Linked DNA regions of Tamandua tetradactyla. The main gene of each other region encodes a partner of the protein of the gene in region 2 in a complex. Links are inferred from orthologs where the notes say so. Each region holds a gene or a part of one and is shown on either strand. Other genes may lie near its edges.

Region 1 (9,717 bases), on a different chromosome or scaffold from region 2:
GGAAGAATACCTCGGAAGGGTCATGCGTCCACTGACCATCCACAAAGAACTTGTACTGATGCTCTCCTTCAGGCAGATCCAGGATGGCTACAAAGTTATTGTGGCTGCAAGGCAAAAGGAAGCAGAGGACCTTAGCTGGGTAGGCTGCCTTCTTGGCATATTTGCAAAACCAGTGATGGAACAAAACAAACATGCACATGTAAAAACCAAGAGGGTAGCTGCAGCATAAACATTTTTAACCAATTTAGACAAGTTGGTATAATGATCTAAATCTAGAAAAGCTCTAAGAAAGTAGCAATGGAAAAGGTTTTCCTGAAAAGTCACTTTGCTCAAATACTGGGGATCCCCATTTCTAATGCTAAAACTTCATCTAACAAGCATTCGTCCTTATCATGCTCGGAAAATAATACATGGCAGCACCAGATGCCAAGGAAAATGACAATACAAAACAAACAGTAACCTGCCTGTTTTACTCTTTGTCAGCCTGCCTTGGGCAGGGAGAGAGATCAGTTTAACAGGACACACAAATGTTCTCTAAAGAAACTAGCAAAACTACTGAAAAGAGATAACGGGAAACCTCTTTCACTTTGTTTTGTTCCTCTGACTCGTGACTGTGCCGAACCGCCCCTTCCTTCTCCAATGTTGCCATCTAAAAGGAGGCAGCCCACAGTAAACAAGCAGGCCTGCCTAGCAGGACACAACTTCTCCCTTCATTTTCATCAAGATTCCCAGGCCAGTGTTCTCTCCCCTGCACTAGGAGAATTCTCTCTGACAGAGAAGTTCTGCCTGACAAATATATAGCTGAATATGTGAAGTGAAAGATGTCCATGAAACAGAAACATTCTCAACAGAGAGATACTTTCTTCTAGGAAAGGGGTAACCTAAAGACAGCTTGGGTGTGAATGCTGAACCCTATGAATTATGACACAAGATTACTTTCCCATTCAACATCTATTAATAGAAACACCCTTTAGGAATAAGAATATCCGTGGATAAAACAAATACATAAACACTCCCCAGGCAATTACCTTCTTGTGAGGGGAAGTTTGCTCCAGTTATTGAAGGAACCAGATAAGTAAACTTCCTTTCCTCCCCCTGTCCATCGAAATACAGTTGGCCTAGCCTGAGTGGGAGCTTTATCATTCACTTCCAGATCATGCTGCCAGGCCAGGAATTCCTCCTTCTCTGGAGCCTGGAAACAAAGCAGTTTACTTAGGGACAGGAAGCCATGAGTGAGTTCCTTGCGGTAGACAATTACCCTAAATATTGAGAATTCATTTTAGAGAGGTAGCTATTACTACCCAGAATTACATTCAGACTCCATAACTGACTAGTCACGCCTCAGTTTCCCCATCTGCAAAATGGAAATAACAAAAATAACTATGTCCTGCAGTTGTTAGGAAAAGTGAGACAGCCCATGCAAAGTCCTCTGTACATGGTATCTGACACATGGCAGGTCTTTAATAATTGTTGGTTAAACTGCTGTTGTGATTAAAGAGGCATACATCAAAATGCTGGGGCAAGCTGAAAACACGCTTGGAAGAAGACTGCAATGAATCCAAAGCCAGCTTAATAAATGTCAGTTTCCTCTCAACTTAATTAAGCAAGATTTGCAGTGCAGGACAATTTATGAGGGACAATCCCAGAGCTGTCAATATGAAAACTGGCAAATCCAAATTCTGGGTAGGAAGGGAAAAGCCATTCCCTGAGTGCTGTCCAGGCAGTGGGGAGAAAAAGATGAGTAAGACCAAGACAGACCCCTCAAGAGTTATGCTAAACTATAATTTCATTGTGATCAGTACTATGTAACTGAGGTATGCACAAATTATTCTGGGATGAGGGAGAACAAAACACTTCTGACTCTGTTTGGGTTAAACAGATGTGATAACGGATCTTATTCTCCTAGTGAGAGGCCAAAGATTTTTAAAAAACAGGAGTTCCAGGCTGGGAGACTAATATGGAAGTCCTGCAGGTTTCCGGCACTTAAACTTATCTAAAAGATGGCTGCAATTGTTTGAGCTCTGATGAGATCTACAGATTAAAGAATACAGACTGGAATCACTTTATTACCAGGAAGGGATAAGTAACTGCAGCCAAAATGGTGGAATGGTGTAATTAAAAGAATCCATGACTTTTTTGGTACTTGGGGCACGCAACCCAGTGTGCCCACTACACGATTTAAGTAACTCCTGATGAAATGAGAACGAATAGTACTAAAAATCATTTTCCAAAGGTAATCTGTAGGCTAAACATTTTTTGCCGGAGTTGTGGGAGCAGCAAAAACTTGAAGAAAATAGTTATGGTACCTTAAATTCGCTTTTTGAAGCCAAAATTAGTTCTATGGGAAGGGATGTTAAGTTAGTGGAGAAATATGATTCCAAAGTTTGCTTTACACAAAGCTTTTCAGAAATGCAACGGATTCAGAAACTCAAGCCACAGGATGTAGGGCCAAATAAAAGTGCTTTATAGTTAGACTCAAAGCTAAGATCCATGTGAGGATATGAGGTAATTTTAACATGGTCCTCCAGCCCAATATCCAAGAAAAGACATGAATAAAATTGGAATGAGTTGCCCAGCAACTGGCCTTACGAACGACGATGATTAAAGTGCAGCCAGATACTAACAGAATATGTTGGGTGGGACGCCTTCACCCTTCCCAACTTTTTTTAAGGAACTAGTTTTTTGTTAATAGGCCATACCACACCAGTGATTAGCAGTAATGTAGCTGAAGCAGGACCGAGTCCTCTTGGGGGTGTTTAATAAATGAGAGCAATCGGCAGGAGGGAATCTAAGTTTGGTCTGCAAAATGTTTGCTTTGGCCTGTTTAAAATATTAAGTCTTGTTTAAACAAGCGAGAGAAGCTGAGCAGCTAGCTACCTCCCTCCTGCCCTTCAGAAGTCACATTATTTTTCTATGCTCACAGTACAACTAAACACCTCTAGCAACTGCAGTGAGTGGTTCAACCCTACTTTCCAATTTACTTGTGTGCTCTGGTTTACCTCCAAAATATACAATAAACTGCCAAACTTTTGCAGAAGCGCCAGTCCGCAAAAAGGCGAGGGAAGATTTTTCAAAGCTGTAAAATTAAACATACCTAGGAGAAAAGCGGACACTGGAGTTCAGTTACAGCTAGCCAGGCTCTTTTAATTAAGAATCTGAAACTGTCCCAGAGTTTGCCACTTAATGAGTTCCTCCTCCCTCGGGGTGACTTTTTAATATCGGTAATTAGACACAGGTTCCTAGATTGCCAAGAGCGCTCTCAGAGGACCATTTCACTTTTAGGTGCACAGGCTGAAGTACTTAACCTCCTCCCAGCCCATTACCCATCCGTCGGCGAGTTTCGGCGGGGCTGTGGGAAAGGGGGTCTGGTAGAGCGTCAAAGGAAACCTCATTTCCCCCAACCCTCGCACCTTAATTTCCTCGGAGTGGTAGATGTAGGCATCCTCAGGGCTGTCCATTAGGATCTTGGGCCTGTCCCCGTCCTTGGCCCCCCCCGAGCTGTCCCTCCGGTGCGTCTTATGGCCGCCCTGCCTTTCCAGGGCGGCGCGCTCGCTGCTCGTGTTGCCCATTGCTGGGCTCTGAGGGGGGCACCGGGGAAGCCGGGCGGAGCTTCACTCCAGGGAAGGAACGCGGCCAGGGGTCCCAAGGACCCTGGGGAAGGATTCCGGAGTCCCGCGGTACCACCAGCCCTCAGGAGAGGGTTCGGGGCTGGGGGCAGGTTCCGCTGGGTCAGCAGGGCTGGCGAGGTCTCGCACTCGCGCTTCCCCCTGCTCCGGGAACGGCGCAGCAAGCCCGCAAACCTACAAAACTTGACCACAAAGCACCAACACGATCCGAAACTTACCCAACAACTCCCCCACCTTCCTACTACTTCCGCTTCCGGCGCCTCCGCGACTCAGCCGGTCCGCGGGGTGGGGCCGACCGCGGCCGGCAGAGCGCGCGAGGCTAGCTTGACCTCACTTCCGCTTGTAGTTCCGTACTATGCGGCCGCGGGCGCCCTGAGGCGGCCTCCGCGGGCTTCGGAGGGCGCAGTCGCAGTCAGCCGCTCGGGGTCGGGTCTAGGATGAGGCTGCTGAGGGCCGGCAGGGGGCGCCCTAGTGCCCGGGCCTTTCGGGCTCCTCTCCCGGCGCCCAGTAGGGAGGCATTCTGTCTGCCCAGCTCCAATTAATTCGCCTCTACAGCCAAAGGGATCTTTTAAAAGTGCAAATCTAGTTGAGACCCTCTCCTTAAAGCCCTTTAAAGGCAATAACTCTCACTCTTAGGAGTGCATTAGAAGCACCTGATGTGCGTGTTTAAAATGCAAATTCCCTGGACGCTAATCCCCGGAAATTATGATTCAGCAGATCTGAAGTGGGGTCTGCATTTAATAAGCACTCCAGGTGGCACTGATGCAGGTCGCCCTGCAGTTGCTTAAGAAAAAGGGCAGATCATAAGATCTCTGGAAATTTCTTGTCTTGTGTCTCGGAAGTTGTCAAAAGCTGTAGTCAATATTGTATTTTTAACGAACTGATTGAGCAACCTTTTCAGTAATTTTAAAAGATATCTTGCAATCAATTTGGACACATCATTCTGCATAAAATGCATTCATTTATTAACATTTATAATTTACTGTGACCACTAAATGTGTGCACAAATTTAGTATTAACTTTGTAATCTTTTCAGTCACTCCCTCCCTTGTGGTAGGGTTTTGTTTAGTTTGTTTGCATGTATCTCGAAATGTTTTATAGTTGCTAGGCCTGACTGTGCAGTTGTAACTGAGAAGTTAGAATTTAAGGGATGATTACAATTACTGAATCATTATATAGATGTTCCCTTTTACTTTCTAGTATGTTAGACAGCAGAGGGAAATACCTCATATCTCTGACCTCTATGTAATCCAGCTGCCTTGATCTCTGATAATGATTTTATGACCTTTATCTTGTGCCCTTGTGATTGTAAAAATCTTGTGACTAACCTTCACTTGTACCCACTTTATTCAGTTATTGGACTTTAGAGTCTTGTGATCACTGACCACAGCTCCAAATGTTTACTAATGAAAAGTCTAGCGTCAGCCCAGAGCTAACCCACCCTAAATCCAAAGTTATCTTGATAACTGAAGCTGGATCTACCCAAAATAGGCCCACCTGACATGCGCAGTTGCTTAGACTTTAACTTGTAAGTCACTTAAACCTCATCATAATACTAAAAGTCACCCCCATCATATCAAGGCCACCTTTTCTTACATTCTGTGACTAAGCATGTAATCAATCTGTGCATGCTTAACAATCAGATCCCTTCTAATTACATCATCTGGAGCCATTGTGCTCATTATCCTAAAATTTGCCCATCTTTTAATGCTATAACACTATCAGAATTACTAAAGTCAGGGAGACAGATTTTTGGGCCAACAGGCCATCTGACTTCCTGCTTCGTGCCTTGCAATAATCTCTCTCTTTGAAACCCTGGTGTCTCAGGAAGTGGCTACTGAGCGCATAGGGCAGAGAACTCACCACCTTTCAATGGATAGAAAGGGGACTTTCACTTCTTAACACACAGTATCCACTGAATCGACATCTATTTAATATCTATAAAGTGCCAGGCATTGTGCGAAGTAAATGGGAACACAAAAGACAATACATGGTTCCCAGGAGGGGAATCTGACAGTATCTACCAAAATAAAAATGCACCTTCATTTTGACTCCTAACTTTACTTCTAGGAGACCTCTACAGACATGCATGCATGAAAATTATATTCAAGCAAGTGCATTTACAGCATCATCTGTAAGCCATATTACATAAGTCTAATTTGCACACTTTTTTCACATTTTAATATCCCTGATATTGGGTATTTCTTACAATTAACAGAATCTTAGATTTGATAAAATAAGGGAACGAAAAATTGCAAAATCTTAAAATTTTATCAGTAGAATGGCTAAATGTGCTAAATACAATCAATCATTTTATAGACTACTAAGCAACTTTTAAAAAGGAAAAATAGAGGAGGAGAGCCAAGATGGCGGCTTAGTGAGGTGTGGGATTTAGTTCGTCCTCCAGAGCAGCTAGTAAATAGCCGGAAAAAGTACAGAACAACTGTTGGGGCCACATCAGTGCCCAGACACACGCGTACCCCAGTCTGCACCATCTGGACCAGCTGCGAACCCCCCCAGAACCATGAGTCCCCAAAGCCGTGCCCCTCCCCCACATGCTGCTTCCCAGAGGGGAAAGGAAGGGGACTTTACTAGCAGCAGGGGCTGTCCACTTGAAAGAACCAGAGAAAGAACAGCAAACTGACCCCAAAGCAAGCAAAAGGAAAGAAGTAAATGAAATCGAGATCATGAAAACAATTGAGAAACAACAAAACCAGAAGTTGGTTCTATGAGAAAATCAGTAAGATTGACGGACCCTTAGCGAGGTTGACAAAAAGAAGAGAGAGGATGCAAATAAATAAAATCAGAAATGGAAGAGGAGACATAACCACTGACCTCACAGAAATAAAGGAAGTAATGAGAGGATACTATGAACAACTTTATGCTAATAAACTCGACAATGTAGATGAAATGGACAACTTCCTAGAAAGGCATGAACAACTAACACTGACTCGAGAAGAAATTGACGACTTCAACAAACAAATCGCAAGTAAAGAAACTGAATCAGTCACCAAGAAGCTCCCCCAGAAGAAAAGTCCAGGACCAGATGGCTTCACATGTGAATTCTACTAAACATTTCAGAAAGAATTAGTACCAATTCTGCTCAAACTATTCAAAAAAATTGAAGAGGAAGGAAAGCTACCTAACTCATTCTATGAAGCCAACATCACCCTCATACCAAAGCCAGACAAAGATATTACAAAAAAAGAAAACTACAGACCAAACTCTCTAATGAATATAGATGCAAAAATCCTCAGCAAAATTCTAGCAAATTGAATCCAGAAGCATATTAAAAGAATTATACACCATGACCAAGTAGGATTCATCCTAGGTATGTAAGGATGGTTCAACATAAGAAAATCAATTAATGTAATACACCATATCAACAAATCAAAGCAGAAAAACCACATGATCATCTTAATTGATGCAGAAAAGGCATCTGACAAAATTCAACATCCTTTCCTGTTGAAAACACTTCAAAGGATAGGAATAGAAAGGAACTTCCTCAACACGATAAAGGGAATATATGAAAAACCCACAGCTAACATCATCCTCAATGGGGGAAAAACTGAAAACTTTTCCCCTAAGATCAGGAACAAGACAAGGATGTCTTCTGTCACCACTGTTATTCAACATTGTGTTGGAAGTTCTAGCCAGAGCAATTAGACAAGAAAAAGAAATACAAGTCATCAAAATTGGAAAGGAAGAAGTAAAAACTCTCACTGTTTGCAGATGATATGATTCTATGTGTCAAAAACCCGGAAAAACCCACAGCAAAACTACTAGAGCTAATAAATGAGTACAGCAAAGTGGCAGATTACAAATCAACACTCAAAAATCTATAGTGTTTCTATACACTAGTAATGAACAATCTGAGAGGGGAATCAAGAAAAAAATTCCATTTATAATTGCAATCAAAAGAATAAAATATTTAGGAATAAATTTAACTAAAGAGACAAAAGACCTATACAGAGAAAATTGTAAGAAATTGTTAAAAGAAATCACAGAAGACCTAAATAAATGGAAGGGCATACCGTGTTCATGGATGGGAAGACTAAATATAAACATGTCAATTCTTCCTAAATTGGTTTACAGATTCAATGCAATACCAATTAAAATCCCCAAAACTTACTTTTCAGAAATAGAAAAACCAAATAACCAAATTTATCTTGAAGGGCAGGGTGTCCTGAATAACTAAAAGTATCCTGGGAAAGAAAAATGAAGTCGGAGGTCTCATGCCACCTGACTTTAAGGCGTATTATGAAGCTACAGTGGTCAAAACAGCATGGTACTGGCATAAAGACAGATATACTGACCAATGGAATAGAATAGAGTGTTCAGATAGAGACCCTCTCATCTATGGACAATTGATCTTTGATAAGGCAGTCAAGCTAACTTACCTGGGAAAGAATAGTCTCTTCAATAAATGGTGCCCAGAGAACTGGATAGCCACATGTGAAAGAATGAAAGAGGCTCCATATCTCACACCCTATACAAAAATGAACTCAAAATGGATCAAAGACCTAAACATTAAATCTAAGACCATAAAACTGTTAGAAGAAAATGTAGGGAGATATCTTATAAATCTTATAATAGGAGGTGGTTTCCTAGACCTTACACCCAAAGCACGAGCATAAATAAATGGAAACTCCTCAAAATTAAATACTTTTGTGCATCAAAGAACTTCAACAAGAAAGTAAAAAGACAGCCTACAAAATGGGAGACAATATTTGGAAACGATATATCAGATAAAGGTCTAGTATTATATAAAGAGATTGTTCAATTCAACAACAAAAAAACAGACAAACCAATTACAAAATGGGCAAAAGACTTGAACAGACATTTCTCAGAAGAGGAAAAACAAATGGCCAAAAGGCACATGAAAGGATGCTCAACTTCCCTGGCTATTAGGGAAATACAAATCAAATGCACAATGAGATATCATCTGACACCCACCAGAATGGCCATTATCAATAAAACAGAAAACAGCAAGTGCTGGAGAGGATATGGAGAAAGAGGCACACTTACCCACTGTTGGTGGGAATGTCAAATGGTACAACAACTGTGGAAGGCAGTTGGGCAGATCCTCAGGAAGCTAAGTATAGAATTGCCATATGACCCAGCAATACCATTGCTAGGTATCTACTCAGAGTACATGAGGGCAAGGACACAAACGGATATTTGCACACCAATGTTTATAGCAGCATTATTTACAATTGTCAAGAGATGGAAACAGCCCAAATGTCCACCAACAGGTGAGTGGCTAAACAAGCTGTACTATATACATACAATGGAATATTATGCAGCTGTAAGACAGAATAAATTTTATGAAGTATGTAACAACATGGATGGACCTTAAGGACATTATGCTGAGTGAGATTAGCCAGGAACAAAAGGACAAACACTATTTGGTTTCACTGATATGAACTAACATTAATGAATGAACTTGGGGAATTTCAGTTAAGAACTGAGACCATCAAGAGATAGAAATAGGGTAGATATTGAGTAATTGGAGCTGAAGGGATACAGATTATGCAACAGGACTGATTGTAAAAATTCAGAAATGGATAGCACAATATTACCTATCTGTAACACAATAATGTTGGAACACTGAATGAAGCTGAATATGAGAATGATAGAGGGAGAAGGCCTGGGGGCACAAATGAAATCAGAAGGAAAGATAAGACGATAAAGACTGAGATGGTATAATCTAGGAATGCCTAGAGTGCATAATGATAGTGACTAAATGTACAAATTTAAAAATGTTTTGCATAAGGAAGAACAAAGGAATGTCAATAATACAAGGTGTTAAAAATAGATGATAATTCATATTTTAAAACTTTAACTTATGTGTGAGACTAAATGTTCTAGTTTGCTAGCTGCCGGAATGCAATATACCAGAAATGGAATGGCTTTTAAAAGGGGGAATTTAATGAGTTGCTAGTTTACAGTTCCAAGGCTGAGAAAATGTCCCAATTGAACCAAGTCCATAGACATGTCCAACTTAAGGCATCTGGGGAACGATACCTTGGTTCAAGAAGGCCAACAACGTTCAACGTTTCTCTCTCAGCTGGAAGGGCACATGGCGAAC
Region 2 (8,875 bases):
GATTATGGTCATTGGGATTAATTATTCTACTGTCTCAACTTTTTTGTATGTTTGAAATTTTTCATAATAAAAATAAAACAGAAGTGACCATGGAGTTTGTATTATATAGGACATCATCTGCATACTTCATTAATCACTGAATCTCAAACTTTTTTTTTATTTTAAACTGGAAAACAATAACCGAAACACCTCATCATGAATCCATAAGGTCCTTGTACCGGTCTGAATCTCTTGTGGACTCCAGAAAAGCCATGTCCTTTGATTCTCATTCAATATTGTTGGGTGGGAGCTTTTTATTGTTTCCATGAATCCAAATGTGTGTGGTAACTTTTCATTAGATGGGTTCCATAGAGATGTGTCTCTACCCATTTAAGGTGGGATTCCTTACTGGAGCCCTTTAGGAGGGAACCATTTTGGAAAAAGCTAGAGAGCCCACGCAACCAGAGACCTTTGGAGATGAAGAAGGAAATGCCTCCAGGAGAGCTTCCCGAAACAAGAAGCCTGGAGAGAAAGCCAGCAGATGTTGCCATGTTTGCCATGTGCCTTTCCAGTTGAGAGCAAAACCATGAACATCATCAGCCCTCTTGAACCAAGGTATCTTTCCATGGGTGCCATAGAAGGGACATTTCTATAGCCTTGCTTTAATTTGGACATTTTCATGGCCTTAGAACTGTAAACTTGCAACTTAATAAATTCTGCTTTTTAAAAGCCATTCTGTTTCTGGTATATCACATTCTGGCAGCTTGCACACTAGAACAGCCCTACATGTTCTGGTTCATATCTACCTCCAAACTCACTAAAAATGACTACTACACTGAGATGTGAAATTAGCTTTTTATTTAGTATGTATTAATTTTGATTTCTCTTTTGAAGTGTTCCTCCCTAAATTTGTGTTCTTTGATTTTCTACTAAGTCACCCTTTTCTTTATTTTAATTCAACAAACATTTTTGGAATGATGGACCAGGTTTCACTAGCTCTGAGGGACATCAGATATCAGATAGGGTATGAATACATTGTTCATGAACATATGTATATTTCTTATGCATATGTTTATAAATATATAGAAAAATATGAAAATACATATAAAATATTAATATAATAATAATGTTTGCACATATAAATAGAATTGACAAATGCTATAGTAGCTATGTGAGTGTAATGGGAACCCTAAAGAGAAACATATAATCAAAAACTTGATTAGAGAAAACATTGAATTATCTTTCTATTCTCTCTATAAAAATATTACAAATATCAAGAGGAAATCAAAGATGATTGGCAAAAAATGTAGAGAACAAGTATTGTAGAGGTATGTTGATAGTAGTTAATTGATAAAAATATTTTTCTGGATTTGGAGATGTTTATAAAATCCGTTGTTTAAAAATCTGTAGATTGTTGTGATTTTTTCTTCACATAAATACTCACTTGCATACTTAGTTTTGTATTTTTTCCTTAAACAAATCCCCCAAAGTGTATAAACACCAGGTAGCAGATAACCTGAATCCACTTGGGTGCCTACAATTTACTAGGCACTGTTCTGGGAGCTAAGAATTTATCAGTGAATATAACAGAAAACCCCCTCTCCTTGGGAATGTAACATTTTAGTTGTGGGGAATCACACAAAACAAAAACATAATAAATAAGCTAAATAGCATATTAGAAAGTGACGACAACTGTAAGCAGTTGGGGAGAGTAAGGGTGATGGAGCACGCAGGCCCTTGGGTGAGACGAAAGTGTACTTTTAAATAGGGTGTTCAGAATTCACTTCACCTAGATGACTCAGAGCAAAGAAGGAATTGGTTATTGATAATATCAAGGGAATCTAGTATAGTGTTTTAGATATTCGGATGTCATTATTCTCCTTATTCAGGCCCTGCTTTGGAACAAAGTAAAATTACCCCAAAGGCTCTGTTTTAGTTTGCAAATGCTGCTGGAATGCAATATATCAGAAATGGGATGGCTTTTAAGAAGCATGCTTATTTAGTTACAAGTTTACAATTCTAAGGCCATAAAAATGTCCAAACTCAGACATCCAGGGAAAGATACTTTGAATCAAGAAAGGCTGATGGCATCTGGAACACCTCTATCACTGGGGAAGGTACATGGCTGGCGTCTGCTGGTCTTTTGGCTTATGGTTTCAAAAGCTTCCCTGGGGGCATATTCTTTCTGCATCTCCAAATGTCTCCGTCTGTGTCAGCTCTGAACTTTTCTCAAAATGATTCCCTCTTAAAGGACTCCAGCAAGTGGATTAAGGCCCATTTTGAATAGGTGGAAACACATCTCCATGGAAACCCCCTAATCAAAAGTTCCCACCCACAATTGGGTGGATCACATCTCCATGGAAACAACTTAATAAAAAAAATCCCACCCAAACAATAGGTTAGCCCCCATAGGACTGGATTAGGAAAATGACCATGGCTTTTCTGGGGTATATAACCGTTTCAAACCAGCACAGGTTCAGAGGAGGATAAAGTTGTAACAGTTGGGCCAGGGTTAAGAAATGAACAGCTAGCTGGGGCATCTTAGAGACTGGTACTAAACAATATAGGGACACTAAAACATTCCTAGGAAATAATGAAGATTGTATTTGCTAGAAAGTCTAGAGGGTTAGACCATCAAGGGATATAGCTCTTTAGGAAATTTGGTCTGATTAACTGCTGGGTTTTGTTTTGCTTGCAGAGTGAAGCAAATATGGAATCACAGCTGACATATTCAGGGCAATACAACAAAAGCTGACAACGTTCACAAAGAGTTGTCCTTTTTCGCCTTTCTTCCCTGCTTCACATTCAATTTTTCTTGTAAATAAGGATAACAACTAAAAAAAAAACTATAAAAAATTTTTTTATACCCTGTTATTTTTATACCCTGTTATTTAAAGGGTATATTATTTGCATACCCTAGAAATAACAAAAATAGTAGAATGGTACTGTTGTGAAAATGTAAAACTTTCTTAGACCACATGTGCTTTTTGATAAGTAGCTATGAGTAGAAAAAAAAGGACAAGTTAGAGCTGGATAGGAGTTCTGACTCTGACCCTAATGCGTTCAGCCTTTCGCAAATCATAAAGAAAAAAGCTCGGTGTTATAAAATGAGGATAATAAGTTTCTTTTATGACAATTAAATGAGATAGTTTTGTTTAAATGTGCTTTTTGAATCAACAAAGTCCCATATACATTTTTGGTATAACAATAATGCTACAAGGTTGTCCATAGTAGCTTTAGTATGATCACAGGTATGAAGTATGTAGTAATGTAAGTTATAATTATCAACAAATAGTTAATGACAGCACAGAATACTATAAAAATCCCATTTATAGTCTGTTCATGCACATTAAAAGCAACCTAAATGGGAAGACTTTTCAACATCTTTTAATGGGATGTTAAAAGAAGAGAGACAAATATTTTATCTTAAAAGCAGAATAGGTATTTTGTTTTCTTACTCACTTCAGAGAATACTGAAGGAGTGACTTCACCAAATGAAAATTCAGCATCCAAAAAAAGGTCTATTTTTTTTTCCAAATTGCCACCTAAGTAGAGTGATTTTTAAATGACAGTTCTTACTGACAAGAAAAATGATCTGAGGAATGAAGGAAAATAGCCTCTGTTCAACAGCTGTGCTACCTATAGTTTATAAGCTGTGATCATTTTTCATCAGATTGTTTTGGGTGTTTATATAAAAATGAATGTATGAATGTTTGTCATTTGTATTTTTAGCACTTCTCAGAAAGGAAACTTTTCTTACATCCTATTCTTTCATAGGATGTATTCATCACACATATAAACAGTGTGATAGACTTCCTGTATGAGGAATGTGACCTTGAAACCCTAAGGTCATATACATTATAAATGTTCAACTAATCGTCAGTAATTTATTCCCAAACAGCAAATAATCTTAAATACTGAAAGATAGGACAGTACTTAAGGATGGAAGAAATGGAGGAAGGAAGAGATAATTACTTCATTTCCCAGTTCTCTGTCAGTCTTGAATACTCTCTTTGGGTATCATGCTTCTGGTTTCCTTTATCATTTTTTTTTTCACTACCGCCTTCATCACATTTATTCTTTCTTTGATTTGTGCCCTTATGCTGCCCTTGCTCTTCCAAATTTGTTTGTCCCTTATGTATTTTACATTCTATGCTCACTACATTCCTTTTTTCATTTCTTTCACTATTTTCCCCTTGTAAAGCTCTATCACATACTATTCCTGTACTATATATTTACAGAAATGTGCTAAAATACAATCGAGGAAATATTTGTGCTTCTGATTTATTGGAAAATTGTGCAAATTAAAATTTAGAGCTCTGGAGGAGAGGATCCCTTCCATTCTTAAAATCACTGAGAATTACGAAATATATAAAGGAGGACAATTGAAGAGAGCACAGAATTGGGTTCTCTTTGTACCATGACCTGTATCAAAAGTCAGCCAGTCTACGCCTAGAGAAAACTTTCCTTCTGCTCTCCTCAAACTGCCCTTTGATCAAGGCCCTTCCCACCACCTCCTTTGCGCTCCCCGATTTCCTTATTCCCCCATTTGTTTACATCCCTCCCTCCCCACAATTTGGGCCTGTTCCTTTTATTTCACTTCTACTTCCACCATTCCCTAGGATTCTTCCCAAATCTCTCCCTCACACTTTCACTCTCTTCAGTTTTCCCTACGGGCGCCCTTCAGCCCTAAAAGGCCACTGACCCTCAGGTCCCTCCCCCCACTCCCGGGTGTTGCCCCCTTCATCCACTGCTACGCACTACTGGCCGGCTTTCTTTTTCTTTTTCTTTTTTTTTTTTTTACATTGGCAGGCACCGGGAATCGAACCCGGCAAGCATTCTTACCTGCTGAGCCACCGTGGCCCGCCCCTGGCCGGCTTTCGGCCCGCCTTTGAACTCCCCACACCCTGCTCGGAGCCCTCCCTCAAGTCCCCAGCGCCGGTTCCCTCCTCGCCCGGGGGAACGACCTTCGCCGCCTAGCCGTTTCGCCGCCTCGGGCTCAGCGCTCACACACCCATCACGCCCCGGGCGTGGGCACCTCACCTTCTCCCCTCCGCAACTCCACGCGCCCAGCCCATAGACTCCGCGCTTCCCACGGGCCCCGGCCCACTTCCAACCCCTCCTCCCGGGACCCGCGCCCGCTCTGCCAGCCGCGGCTCGCCGCTCGGCGTCTCCCCGACGCCCCCCTCCCCCCCGCAGGTCCCGCTGCACTGTGGGTAGACGGCGGCGGCGTCCGCGCTGAGCAGCCTGCGGAGCAAGGCTGCGCGCGCCGAAGATGGCTGAGAAGCAGAAGCACGACGGGCGGGTGAAAATCGGTCACTACGTGTTAGGGGACACTCTGGGCGTCGGCACCTTCGGCAAAGTGAAGAGTTGAGTATCCCACCGAGGCCGTGGCGGGGGGCAGCCTCACACGTGGGAGGCCGGGCAGAGCCGCGGGAACCCCGGGCAGGCACAGGCCCTGAAGGCAGGTGGAGCGGCCGGGGCCGCGCGGAACCCAATGGCTCCGGGGAGGTGGCGCCACCGCCTCCCGAAGCAGCAGCGGCTCGAACCTGGTTGGGACCTGGTGAAGAGGGGTCGGGGTGTGGGCTGGGGGACAGACTTTCCAGTGGTCTGGAGCAAGGTGCTCTTTCTTGGAACTCAGTTTTCCTCTTCTGTGAAACTGGGAGTTGGAGCAAGAACTGTAAGGTGCCTTACAGCTCCGAGACTGTTTGGATAGGACTAGGGAATAATACACGTTACTGATTATTGTTTCGAATCCGTTCCAGGTACCCTGTTTTAGGTGCTTAACATGTGATGGTCATTTCGTCTTTACAGCAGTATGATGAGACGTTATCCTCACTGGAAAGAGGGCGAAAACTCGGATCCCCAGAGGTTTAGTAGAATGCCCAAGGTCACACAAAAATTGGCAGAAGGAGAGGATGTCTAAGATGTCTCCCAGTTCTGGCATTGCTGGGAGGTCCCTGCCACCTCCAGATTCTTTAATATTCCCCGAGCCTCTGTTGGTGGGACTGGCTGTTTAGGGGATGCCTCAGGGACCAAGAGATGGGGAATCTCCCGGACGTGTGAAATGCTGGAATGCAGCTGGGTTGGGTCTGGGCGTAAATTAGAACCGCGAGGTCTGAAGGTCGATTGGTGTGTATAAAATGATTCTGGGAAGGCTTCTTGAAAGGGGGAGAGAAAGAGGTTCCTCGCTGTTGGACTTTGGAGGATTTGGGACTGAGAGTGCCAGAGCTGCTCAAGCAGATTCTACTGAAGTCTGTTCTCATGGTGATAGGGTCCCACTTTGGGGGTAGAACTGGTTCCTTTTAGAATTAATATTGAACTTTCTTTCCCCCACCCCGTTTATAAGAGTCACCTGGGATTTAATAACGTGCCCTCTCTCCGAAACCAGAACCAGTTTATTAATAGTTCTTTGTTACAAACACAAAATTATTAGTGAAATGTTGGCTTTTTTTTCCCTTGTAGAAATGTTGGGAAGCAAAATGGAGTTTTTATTGTGAGATCTCTATTTCCTAGTAAAAATTCATATTGTAATCTGAAGTCCAGGCTGCTAAATAGGTGGTAGAGGCTCCTTGCTGATGAATTCCTGTTGCCTTCATATATCTGATACTCATTCATTTCTTCAGAAAACATTTATTGAGCATCTACGAAGTGCTATATACTGTTAATAGGCAGTGGGATACAGCAGGAAAGAAACCATATACAAATCCCTGTGTTCATGGAGCTCACATTCTTCTAGGAGGGGAAGGCAAACAATAATCAAAATACATCCGTTAAGTATACAATATGTTTAGTGTTATTGAGAAAAACGAGGCAGGGAAGGGAGGATAGGTAATTTTGTGGGATTTGCAGTTTTCAGGCAAAACCTCACAAACAAGGTCGTGGTTGAGTCAAGTTCTAAAGAAGGTTGCAAAATTCTTTGAAGTTCTATTAAGACTGTGAATCCTAGATTATTTTGAAAAACCTCATAGAGTGGATAGTTAGGAGAATGTATTTAGAACGAATATAGGAAGATCTGGAGTTGTATTTACACCTGTAATGTTACTGAGGACTATTGTATTATAACATTATACAGTTACTCAAGCAAACAACTCCTTTGCCATCTGGACTTGTAGACTCCTGAAGTTATAGAACTTACTGTGTACTTTCAAATTGTGCTGAAGTTTTTGTCTTTTTAAAATTCCTACACTGTAATCTGAATGTAGGGTAGGCCATCCATCAGCCCCATTGTTAAGGGGCAACTTAAATTTCTTTTGTATATGCTCTTAAGCTGCTGCCAGGCGTTAGCTTTTTAAATTATAAGTCAAGAGATGGAGCTTTGCTTTTTGAGAAATCCTTTTCCCGAAGAACTCCTTTCTAGTGAATAACTAGTTGGAGCAGGTCTCCTAATACTGTGAGAGCCTCTCTAAAGTTTTCCTGTGGCTTCTCATCCAGGATTAGAAGCAATACAATGGTTTGTTTAATAAAAATTACAGAAATTACTACAATTTTAATCATTTAGCTCAAGAGACAAGTAAAACAAAAGCACATGCAACTATTAAGACAGTTTTTATTGAGGTAGGTATATTTTACATATAAAATTCTTCCGTATCAAATGTACAATTCAGTGATTTTTTAGTAACTTCACTGAGTGGTGCAAACAATGTAAATGTATTTTAGAATATTTTTACCCCACCCTCAGCCCCTCTCCCTCCCTCAGCCACAGGGATCACTAATTTATTTTCTGTCTATGTGCATTTGTTTTTTTCTAGACATTTTATATCAATGAAATAATTTAGTATGGGGGATGCCTGTGTCTAGCTTCATTAACTTAATATAATGCTTTTCAGATTCATGCATAATGTAACATCTATTAGTAGTTCATTCCTTTTTATTGCTGAGTAATATTCTATTGTATGGCTACACCACATCTTGTCTCTGCATTTGCCAGTAAATGGACATTGTTTTCAGTTTGGAGCTATCAACATTTTCATGCAAGTCTTTGTGTAGACTTATGTTTTCATATTTCCTGGGTAGATATCTAAGAATGGGATTGCTGGGTTATATCATAGGTTTATGTTTAACTTTTTGAGAGACTGCCAAATTGTTTTCCAAAGTGTTGCACCATTTTATGACCCTGCCAACAATATATAAGGGTTACTATTTCTTCACATCCTTTTCAATATTTGTTATTGTTTGTCTTATTTATTATAGCCATTGTAGTGGGTATGAAATGATATTTCATTGTGGCTTTACTTTGTATTTCCCTAATGACCAATGATGTTGAACATCTTTTCATGTATCAGTTAGCTCTTCTTCATGTATCTTCTTTGGTGAAATGTCTGTTCAGATCTTTTGCTTATTTTTTCATTGGATTCTTTGTCTTTTTCTTATAAATTGAATTGTTAGAATTCTTTGAAAAGTCTGAATACAAGTCCTTTATTGGATGTCTTGCAAACATTTTCTTCCAGTCAGTTTGTATTTTATTTTCTGCTGGTGCCTTTTGAAGGATAAAAGTTTTGAATTTTGGTAAGGTGCAATTTTATCAGTTTTTTCTTTTATGGACGAGGGCTTTGGTGACATGGCCAAGAATTCTTTGCCTAGCCCAAGATGTCAGATTTTCTTGTAAACTTTTCTATTGTTTTACCTCTTAAGATTAAGTCTGTGTCCATTTTGAGTTGATTTTTGCATATGGTGTCAGGTGATGTTCTAAGTTCAGCTTTTTGTTACATGAATATCCAATTGTCCCAACATCTTTTGTTGAAAACACATGCATTTTTTATTGCTATAGATTTAAATCTTGTAAAATCAGTTTCTATTCAAAATCTTAGTAGGTGACTTAATTTTATATGGCTAAAAGCACTTGGGAATGGGGGAATGAGGAGCATTTTATATACTGTTACATTTCATCCTCTTT

The links.
Region 1: the proteins of PRKAA2 (region 2) and PRKAB1 are in contact, whole or in part, in a crystal structure (PDB 8BIK), measured with the Homo sapiens proteins. The link is inferred for Tamandua tetradactyla from reciprocal best matches to the Homo sapiens genes PRKAA2 and PRKAB1. Residues at the interface, in NP_006243.2 of Homo sapiens: Gly9, Val11, Lys12, Ile13, Thr21, Lys29, Lys31, Asn48, Arg49, Arg53, Asp56, Val58, Ile61, Lys62, Ile65, Gln66, Lys69, Val82, Ile83, Ser84, Thr85, Pro86, Thr87, Asp88, Phe89, Phe90, Met134, Met164, Ser165, Asp166; in NP_006244.2 of Homo sapiens: Pro79, Thr80, Val81, Arg83, Thr106, Ser108, Asn111, Val113, Ile115, Gln154, Val155, Asp159, Phe160, Glu161, Val162, Phe163, Ala165, Leu166, Asp169, Ser170, Lys172, Cys173, Pro186, Tyr187, His188, Gln189, Glu190, Pro191, Tyr192, Ala202.

Annotation. Positions count from the first base shown.
Region 1 is NC_135331.1:19,839,343-19,849,059, reverse strand, and holds the start of PRKAB1 (5'-AMP-activated protein kinase subunit beta-1), read right to left. Parts: upstream 3,889-9,717; 5' UTR 3,570-3,888; coding exon 3,411-3,569; intron 1,193-3,410; coding exon 1,029-1,192; intron 105-1,028; coding exon 11-104; intron 1-10. UniProt on the Homo sapiens protein: Non-catalytic subunit of AMP-activated protein kinase (AMPK), an energy sensor protein kinase that plays a key role in regulating cellular energy metabolism.
Region 2 is NC_135328.1:164,519,225-164,528,099, reverse strand, and holds the start of PRKAA2 (5'-AMP-activated protein kinase catalytic subunit alpha-2), read left to right. Parts: upstream 1-5,206; 5' UTR 5,207-5,254; coding exon 5,255-5,348; intron 5,349-8,875. UniProt on the Homo sapiens protein: Catalytic subunit of AMP-activated protein kinase (AMPK), an energy sensor protein kinase that plays a key role in regulating cellular energy metabolism.